Callithrix jacchus: one gene and its partner. The protein of the gene in region 2 binds, or shares a complex with, the protein of the main gene of each other region. Links are inferred from orthologs where the notes say so. Each region holds a gene or a part of one and is shown on either strand. Other genes may lie near its edges.

Region 1 (5,395 bases), on a different chromosome or scaffold from region 2:
TTCAGTTATCTGCATTTTAAGGCATAATGACAAAAAGGCCATGTGAAATGCAGAATGACTCATAAAGTTTGCGCAAAAATCTCTGGAGCTAAAAACGAAACCAAACTGGCAGGATAAAGTAAATTCTGCCATTTTTCTAGACCTTTGAGTTGCACATCAAATCTAGGGCTGATCACTCCAGACTTCTTTAGCCTGCCTGTGAGGTTCACAACAATTTTCCCAGCTCTGTGATCATCAATGATTTCAAATTTGCCAATGTAACCATGCTTCATCATCACAATGAGAAACCAGATGATGACTTTGGAGCATGGCCTAATAAGCACCTGGTGTTTGCCTCTTTTCGGCATCGTTGATGCTCGAGAGCATCAGCCAGGACATTTATGTGGACCACTGTGGTGGCGCGGAAAGATGGTGGAAAGAGCACAGTGAACCAAAATTCTAAAGCATGAAAGATTATGCCTGTTTTAAGTAATACCATGTGCAATTATAACTAAAGTTCATAGATGAGTCTTTCTTTTAAAGGGCACATGATGTAAATTTATGACCCAATTTTCATTTTTGAGAATGTAAGATAATACTAATTTTCTTGATGTATGTTCAATTATTTTTACATCACAAAGAGCCTGGAGGCTACATATATTGTCACAGTGACCTGTTTGTCCCCTTTTTTTGTACTTTAGTTTTGCCCATATAACAAATATACTTACGTTTTCGATCATCACCACATGCAACTTCAGCAAGGTACCGGAAGTAATCACCCTTCATTTTCAGATAGAAGACCTTACTCTCTGGATTAGTTGCATTGGCTATTAAGTATTTATCCAGCAACTCCTGAAATAAATAAGACACGGGAACATTAGGCACTGAACTTCTGCCTGCTGCACATTATCATTAAATGATCAAACTTCTGCTTGTCGGGCATTTCAATCATTAACTACTACAGTAATACTATACCATATCAGCCTGGACTTGAAGCATGTTCTTAGGGCAGGGGTTAGGTTGTCGCCCTGGGAGGCTTTAAATGATGATGTAGCCTATAATTTCTAATGGTAATACTAGATTACACCACACATTGTAATTTGAAAGACACTGTCTGTTCTCTCATCTATTCATTCAACAAACATTTACTCACACCGCTAGGTGCCAAGTATTTGACTATAATAGATATAGAGAAGACTTAAAATCAGGTCTCTGCCCTCAAGAAGCTCAGAGTCTGTAAAGCATACCAACTACACACCAAGCATTAAGAGAGAAGGTGAATACAGTGCTATGGAAGCACAGCGAGGGAGTACATGGCTCTGCTGGAGATGGCCTCCAGTTAGACAGGCTTCCCAGGGAAAGAGTATTTGAAGTGTCAAGAAGGAAAAGTAGAAAAGCAACAAGCAGAAAACAAGGATGTGCACTCATTTTAGGGAAGGGAAAGACAATGTTTAAGACATCAAGTACGTGGGAGAACAGTGCTACTCAGTGCCCACTGCAGGCAAGTGTCCATCTAAAGCAAGGCAAATACAGGAATTGAGAGTAAGAGGTTTAAAAACTTGCACAGCAAATAAAATAATTTTAGGTCTACTAAATGTAATTTTAAAACAAACTTAGAATTCTGGAGTATGTCTTTTATTGTTAATTTCATACAAAGAAATTCTCACTTCTAGACGTACAGGGTATGCCTTGGAGTATAAAAAGTCACAAAAAACAAATATAATAGAAATCTTAGATTCAATTTTTCTTGATGCTAGGTCATTCATTTAGAAACCTTTTTATATTAAATATTACAAAGCAGAATGAAATTCTCATATAAATGTTAAGATACTAATACCTACTTCATCATTGGTTTGTTTTGAGAATAAAACCAGTAACAGATGTCAAAGTCTGGAATAGTGTGACATATTAAGTGCTCAGTAAATGTTAGCTAGTATCAACCTAGGTACACAGTTTGAAAAGTACTGCTCCAGGAAAAGTGAAACTAGTGAACATTTTAAAGCAAGGAAGAGAAAGAATCCTTTTTACATTTTGGAAAAATAACCACAAATACAATCAATTAATATTATATAAAAATACCATCTATGATACCAACAAGACTGATTCAAATTCACATAAATGCTAAAGAAAAATAAGGCTGTTTATAGATTTAAAATACAAATGTTTAGAAAACACAGTTCTAACCAATAACTCTCTTGTTGTTTATCTGTTTAGAAGTGGTTTAACAAAATGCAATCACTGCATCCACATATTTCTTTTCTTTTTTTCTTTTTTGAGATAAAGTCTTACTCTGTTGCCCAGGCTAGAGTGCAGTGGTGTGTTCTTGGTTCACTGCAACCTCCACCTCCAGGGCTCAAGCAATTCTCCTGCCTCAGCCTCCTGAACAGCTAGGACTACAGGTGCACACTGCCACACCCAGCTAATTTTTGTAGTTTTAGTAGAGACGGGGTTTCACTATGTTGACCAGGCTGGTCTCATCTCCTGACCTCAGGTTACCTGCCCACCTCAGCCTCCCAAAGTGCTGGGAATACAGGCATGAGTCACTGCTTCTGGCCCATACGTTATTTTTAAAGAAAATAAACAGAGGCCAAGTGTGATGGTTCATGTCTATAATCCCAGCACTCTGGGAAGTGAGGTGGAGGCAAGAGGATTGCTTGAGAGCCCAGAATTTTGAGACTAGCCTGGGCAACATAATGGGACCCGGTCTCTACAAAGAATTTAAAAAAATTAGCCGGGTGTGGTGGCACACACTTGCAATCCCAGTAACTTGAGAGGCTAAGGCAGAAGGATGGCTTAAGCCCAGGGGGTAGAGGGTTCAGTAAGCCATGATCGTGCTACTGCATTCCAGTCTGGGAGAGATAGCGAAAGAAATCCTGTCTCTAAAAAGAAAAAAACAAAAACAAACAAACAAACAAAAAACAGGAAAATAATTAAAATCCTTTAATTTAAAAAAGATTTTAAATTAATTATTTTAATGTATTTAAAGGCCTGAGGCCAGAGGAAGTTACACACACACACACACACACACACACACACACTCTTAGTATAAAATTAAGTGTTGAAGTCCTAGAAGTTTATACATTATAAAAGTAATGAGTATCAAAATTGTGGCTCAAGTTGGAAAGTTGCTGAGACAGGAGTGTGGCAACAGAGGTCATTAAGGGCATACCCAAACTAAAGGCAACTGTGACAAGTGTATGACAAGTGATGTCAAGATGTGACAAGTGATGCTCCAGCATCACTACACTCTTAACTAAAAAAAAAAAAAAAAAAGACAAATCAGATGTTAAGTATTGTGCTCAACATCACCAATATAATTTTAATAGTTATTTAATAAACTGAGGCCGGGCGCAGTAGCTCATGCCTGTAATCTCAGCACTTTGGGAGGCTAAGGGGGATGGATCACGAGGTCAGAGTTCAAGACTAGCCTGGCCTAGATGGTAAAACCCCATCTCTACTAAAAATACAAAAAAAATTAGCTGGGCGTGGTGGCGGGCACCTGTAATCCCCAGGTACTTGGGAGGCTGAGGCAGGGAACTGCTTGAACCCAGGAGGCCAGAGGTTGCAGTGAGCAGAGATCCCATCACTGCACTCCAGTCTGGGTGACAGAACAAGATTCTGTCTCAAGGAAAAAAAAAATTGCGACACTCAAATCTTAAAAATATATTACTTTAATATTTTTCTCTATTACCATTTTTACATATTATGGATGACTTTCAATTTAAAAACTATTTTTATGAACTGAATTAGGGTGGTGGTAGAGGGAGGGAACAGGAGGCAATGGCGAGAAAGTCACAAAAAAGTTCTACATCTCAAACTGACTGAGTCACTGCTATCTTTAAATGAACGGATTCTGAGAAGTACTATCAAAGAAGGCAAACACAGTACTCATACTGAGAGAAATACCACCTCTGCCTGTACCCACACCAAGGAACTCTAATGTAAAATAAGATGCCTCTCACTTTTCTTGTTCCTCCAAGTGAATCAGTCAGTTACAATGAAATTCCAGAGGATCTCCGAAAAGGTGCCAGCTCTGGTAAGCTACTCATCTAGTGCTCTGTTAAATGTGGTAGATATGTAAGAGCAGGGGCTGAGAGAAGTCGGACTAGAACATGGGCTTAGGGTGAGGAGTAGGGAACAGAGAAATTTCCATTCTAGCACTAGTCTCTCATGCTAGATGTGTGGGTGTTCACAAGGACTTATGGACCAAGGGCCTTCCAAAGATTCAGAAAGCTGCCAAACAGCTACTGCATTCATTACAAACACAGCCACTTAGGAGCTAACCAAAACCTTTCCTTTCTAAAATGATTGACTTTGACTACTAGTTTGCATACAGCCATTATGTAGGATTTATAGTGGTGGGCTTTTATAAAGGGACTTGGGCATTACTTCCACCCTGGAGTTTCAGCCAGGTATCATGGTTGTTCATCAGATGCCACTAGCTCTCTGTGAAGGAAACAACAGGTACAGAGTAATTCTGTCTTTCCATATACTATCAGTAGTAAAGATGTATACTTTAGCCCAGCTAGAAGACATAATGGATTCCGCTTCATGTCTTACCCAAATAATCAAGGCTCTATTTGTATTATCAATACCAAATATTATTAATATCAGATAGAATATAGGCCATAAATGTGTAAGATTTTTAAAATTACTGTGAAAACACAGATTAGAGACCAAAACCCCCAAACTGACACAGCTCCCTGAAAGTCTTTCCAAATAAGGGTACTGGTATCTGGTAAGAAGTCAGGAGGGAGAGCCAAGAGCGGTGGCTCGAGTCTGTAATCCCCAGCACTTTGGGAGGCCCAGGTGGGTGGATCACTTGAGGTCAGAAGTTCGAGACCACCCTGAACAACAAGGTGAAACACAATTTCTACTAAAAACACAAAACTAGCGGGGCGTGGTGGCGCACGCTGATAATCTCAGCTACTTGGGAGGCTGACGCAGAAGAATTGCTTGAACCTGGGAGGCAGAGGTTGCAATGAGCCCAGATCACGCCACTGCACTCCTGGACAACAAGTGCAAAACTCCGTTCCCCCCCGCCCCCCACAAAAAAAGTCATCAGGAGGGAGTATAGTTAAAAGTTCCCCCACTAATTTCTTCTGTACATTACTCTTATCAATTAAGCAGGGAGCTCCCCCTTGTAAACTCTTCCACAAATTTTATTATCTTAGGAGTTTTGATGGGTTAAGATTGGGGGTCCTTCTGGTGCTGACAGTGTTACTTGACTGAGGGGGAAAACATGGATGGTAATGTGTTCTGAGAATTTGAAAACTCAAGAGGTCAGTGTACTACCCACAATAACAAGATGAACTAGTAATTTAAAACACTCTAGACCAAAGAAACAAGGAAAGAATGTAAGTTATTATCGAGGTTGCTTTAGGAGATGCTAAAGAAATTCAGAATACATTTAACT
Region 2 (4,112 bases):
GCAGAATCACCTATGTGCAGTCAGCGGGCGGGCACGCGCTGCCCCTGGGTACCAGCCCTGCATCCAGCCAGGCTGGAACAGTCACCTCGTACGGGCCCACGAGCTCTGTAGCTCTAGGCTTCACCTCATTGGGGCCCAGCGGCCCCGCCTTCGTGCAGCCCCTGCTCTCAGGTGAGGGGCGGCGTGGCAGGCAGTGCTGGGGACCCAGGGTGGGGCTGAGGCAGTCTGGGCCCTAACTTGGTCCCCTGCTTCTCCTTTTCTGTCTCAGCAGGCCAAGCCCCACTGCTGGCTCCCGGTCAGGTGGGCGTGTCGCCTGTGCCCAGTCCCCAGCTGCCATCTGCTTGTGCAGCCCCTGGAGGTCCTGTCATCACAGCATTTTACTCTGGCAGCCCTGCACCCACCTCCTCAGCACCCCTGGCCCAGCCATCCCAGGCCCCCCCAAGCCTGGTCTACACTGTGGCCACCAGCACAACTCCACCTGCAGCCACCATTCTGCCCAAGGGCCCGACTGCCCCTGCCACTGCCACCCCAGCCCCAACTAGCCCTTTCCCGAGTGCCACAGGTAGGTGTCAGATCAACTCACAGCAGGGTGAGTTGGGGGGCCCAGCAGATGGGTACCAGTCAGGCCTGGCTCAGCAAACGCTTTTCTCCCCACTAGCAGGTTCCATGACGTACAGCTTAGTGGCCCCCAAGGCCCAGCGGCCTAGCCCGAAGGCACCCCAGAAAGTGAAGGCGGCCATTGCCAGCATTCCTGTGGGGTCCTTTGAGGCAGGTGCCTCTGGACGGCCTGGCCCTGCACCCCGGCAGCCTCTGGAGCCTGGCCCAGTCCGAGAGCCAACTGCCCCAGAGTCTGAGCTTGAGGGGCAGCCCACACCACCAGCCCCTCCACCCCCACCAGAGACCTGGACTCCCATGGCCCGGAGCAGCCCCCCACCGCCCCTACCTGCTGAGGAGCGGACCAGTGCCAAGGGTCCTGAAACCATGGTGAGCACCTGCAGGCTGTGGGGTCCCCACTGGCACTCAGCTGTGCCCCTCCACTGGTATCTTTGGTTTTTTGTCCTGCTTCTCTTTCCTCCATGCCTATGTGTTTCTCAGTTTAAAGGGTCCCCTCTGTCCCTTCTGCTTGCCTGTATTGGCTCCCCTTCTGATCTGAGACCCTGTCTTGTCCTTCCCAAGGCTGTGTGACTGGGCCTTCTCAAGGGGTCTGCCGGTCAGTTTCAGATTCAACTCTTTGTTTCTGGCCTTTGCCCCAGAGTCTGAGCCCCGTGTTCTCCATTTCCCTACCCATCTCCACCCCAGGCTAGCAAATTCCCCAGCTCATCTTCAGATTGGCGCGTCCCTGGGCAGGGCCTGGAGAGTCGTGGGGAGCCTCCCACCCCTCCCAGCCCAGCTCCAGCTCCAGCCGTAGCTCCTGGTGGCAGCAGCGAGGGCAGTGGTGGGCGGGCGGCCGGGGACACCCCTGAGCGCAAGGAGGCGGCTAGTACTGGCAAGAAGGTGAAGGTGCGGCCCCCGCCCCTGAAGAAGACCTTTGACTCTGTGGACAAGTGAGCATGGGCTGGGGCCTTGGTGGGGTGTGTGGGGTGGTGGGAGTGGGAGCAGCTGCAGGCTGAGGCAGGGGAGGTGACCCTGCTGGCCCTCCAGCAGGGTCCTGTCAGAAGTGGACTTTGAAGAGCGCTTTGCAGAGCTGCCTGAGTTTCGGCCTGAGGAGGTGCTGCCTTCCCCTACCCTGCAGTCTCTGGCCACCTCACCCCGGGCCATCCTGGGCTCTTACCGCAAGAAGAGGAAGAATTCCACGGGTAGGGAGCGTTGGGCATCCAGGGTTCATAGGTGAAGGGCAGACTGGGACCACCTGCACTGAGCCTGTTTCTGTTTTGGCCAGACCTGGATTCAGCACCCGAGGACCCCACCTCACCCAAGCGCAAGATGAGGAGACGCTCCAGCTGCAGCTCGGAGCCCAACACCCCCAAGAGTGCCAAGTGCGAGGGGGACATCTTCACCTTTGACCGTACAGGTGCCGTGGTGGGCAAAGCTGTGGCGGGCCCGGAGCCTGCAAGAGGAGTGGGTCTCTGGGAGGCAGTTAGAGGGAGAGGTGGGGTGGGTGTCAGAGGCAGGACAGCAGGTCAGGGTTCTGGAGTCTGGCAGGCCCCCGAGTTGCCCTGTGACTGTGGGCAGGACTCCTCTCTAACTCCTCTGTGAAATAGAATGCAGTGAGGGCTTGGGTGGGCACTCAGACGGTGACAAGACTGCTGTAGCCTTGCCATGCTGCCTGTGCCTGCGCAGGTACAGAAGCTGAGGACGTGCTGGGGGAGCTGGAGTATGAGAAGGTGCCGTACTCCTCCTTGCGGCGCACCCTGGACCAGCGCCGGGCCCTGGTCATGCAGCTCTTCCAGGACCATGGCTTTTTCCCATCAGGTGAGCGTGTCTTAAGAGTTTTGAGGTCATTCGGGTGGGACCTGTCTGCACATCTCACCCTGTGGTCCCTTCGTTTTTCTGCCTCCAGCCCAGGCCACAGCCGCCTTCCAGGCCCGCTATGCAGACATCTTTCCCTCCAAGGTTTGTCTGCAGTTGAAGATCCGTGAGGTGCGCCAGAAGATCATGCAGGCAGCCACTCCCACGGAGCAGCCCCCCGGAGCTGAGGCCCCCCTCCCTGGACCGCCCCCCACTGGCACCGCTGCTGCCCCTGCCCCCACTCCCAGCCCCGCTGGGGGCCCTGACCCCACCTCGCCCAGCTCGGACTCTGGCACAGCCCAGGCTGCCCCGCCACTGCCTCCGCCACCAGAGTCGGGGCCTGGCCAGCCTGGCTGGGAGGGGGCTCCACAGCCCTCCCCCCCACCCCCAGGTCCCTCCACAGCTGCCACAGGCAGGTGAGGGACCCCTGAGAGGATCCCAGGACTCACAGTACCCCCTCAGGACATGGACAGTATGGGGGCAGGAAGGTTATCTCCTCCCGGGTAAAGCCATTTCGTCCTCTCCAGTTTGGGGCGGAATGAGGCCTGCTCCTCTTGTATATACCCCCTTCCCCCACAGCTCCCTCCCGGTGCTGGGGGGCAGCTGAGAGGGCCGCAGGGGCAGTCTCCCTCCTGAGCCCCTGTACATAACCTGGAGTGTGTGACCTTCAGAGCTTTTCACTTTATGCAAAATGGCTCCTGTGAGGGCTGCAAGCTGGAGGGTGGTGCAGGCCTTGGGCCACAGGGAGGCGCCTGTGGAATAGGGGGGAGTTCATGCACCCCTTTTTTCCCCAGAGGGGCTGGACTCAGGTTAGTTTGGGGGTGGGGGCTCCTGCACTTTGCCACAGGCACGGGGAGGGTTTTCTCCTCACCCCCTCTGCCCTCCCAACTTGGGTTGTACTTTCTAAGAAGGTGATTCCCCCTGCCTTTGCCCCCTTTCCCAGAACAAAACATGTTGATCATGTGCAATATTTCTTACTGTGCCGAGAAGCCGCGATGAGCGAGATTAAAGCTGTTTAACACACCTGTGTGGCTTTGGGCTCTTAACGGGGAGGGCTGTTGGTTATACAGTGGCTCATAACTGTCCTCAGTTGTCATGGAGCTGTAGACTTTCCATGAGGTTGGGGGAGCAATACCAGGAGGACTACCTCCAACATCAGAGGGACCCCATGGGCCAGGTCCCTGACATGTGGACCAGGCAGCCCCTCCCAGTTTAGGAGCCCATGTGCTCAGGGAGCCTCAATGCTTTTGGGCCCTGTTCTCAGCCATTGGACTGCATGAGCTTGGGGAAGGCCTGAGGCAAGATGCCACCAGATGGTTTACCCTCAGTCTCTGGTGTCATTTGTATTCAGGAAACAGGCCCCCAAAAGTCCTAGTCCAGAGGTGGCAGTGGGTGGCAGGAGACGAGGGTCCTCCTTGTGACCCTTACTGCCCCCATGTTGCCTGGGTCAGCACTGCAGTAGCTTGTAGCCTCCCCTGGCTGACACCCCTCCCACTCAGCATGTAGACACAGTGCCCACCTGAGATGACAGATACAGTGTGTGGAGGGATGACAACTAAGGGTGGGAGGGTCAGGATACCTCTGTAGAAGTGGCATCTAAGCTACAGCTGGAGCACTAGAAATTTCCAGTTGGGGCAACAGTGTATGCAGAGATGGAGGGGCAG

Evidence for each region. The genes of interacting proteins can lie anywhere in the genome.
Region 1: the proteins of CIC (region 2) and YWHAQ are in contact, whole or in part, in a crystal structure (PDB 6KZG), measured with the Homo sapiens proteins. The link is inferred for Callithrix jacchus from reciprocal best matches to the Homo sapiens genes CIC and YWHAQ. Residues at the interface, in NP_001291744.1 of Homo sapiens: Arg1207, Ser1208, Met1209, Ser1210, Glu1211, Thr1212, Gly1213, Thr1214; in NP_006817.1 of Homo sapiens: Lys49, Arg56, Lys120, Arg127, Tyr128, Gly169, Leu172, Asn173, Val176, Tyr179, Glu180, Leu216, Ile217, Leu220, Asp223, Asn224, Leu227, Trp228.

What each region holds. Positions count from the first base shown.
Region 1 is NC_133515.1:105,385,924-105,391,318, reverse strand, and holds part of YWHAQ (14-3-3 protein theta), read right to left. Parts: intron 832-5,395; coding exon 708-831; intron 1-707. UniProt on the Homo sapiens protein: Adapter protein implicated in the regulation of a large spectrum of both general and specialized signaling pathways. Binds to a large number of partners, usually by recognition of a phosphoserine or phosphothreonine motif.
Region 2 is NC_133523.1:37,329,039-37,333,150, forward strand, and holds the end of CIC (protein capicua homolog), read left to right. Parts: intron 1-4; coding exon 5-171; intron 172-268; coding exon 269-562; intron 563-658; coding exon 659-984; intron 985-1,299; coding exon 1,300-1,544; intron 1,545-1,641; coding exon 1,642-1,796; intron 1,797-1,879; coding exon 1,880-2,011; intron 2,012-2,280; coding exon 2,281-2,412; intron 2,413-2,500; coding exon 2,501-2,868; 3' UTR 2,869-3,471; downstream 3,472-4,112. UniProt on the Homo sapiens protein: Transcriptional repressor which plays a role in development of the central nervous system (CNS). In concert with ATXN1 and ATXN1L, involved in brain development.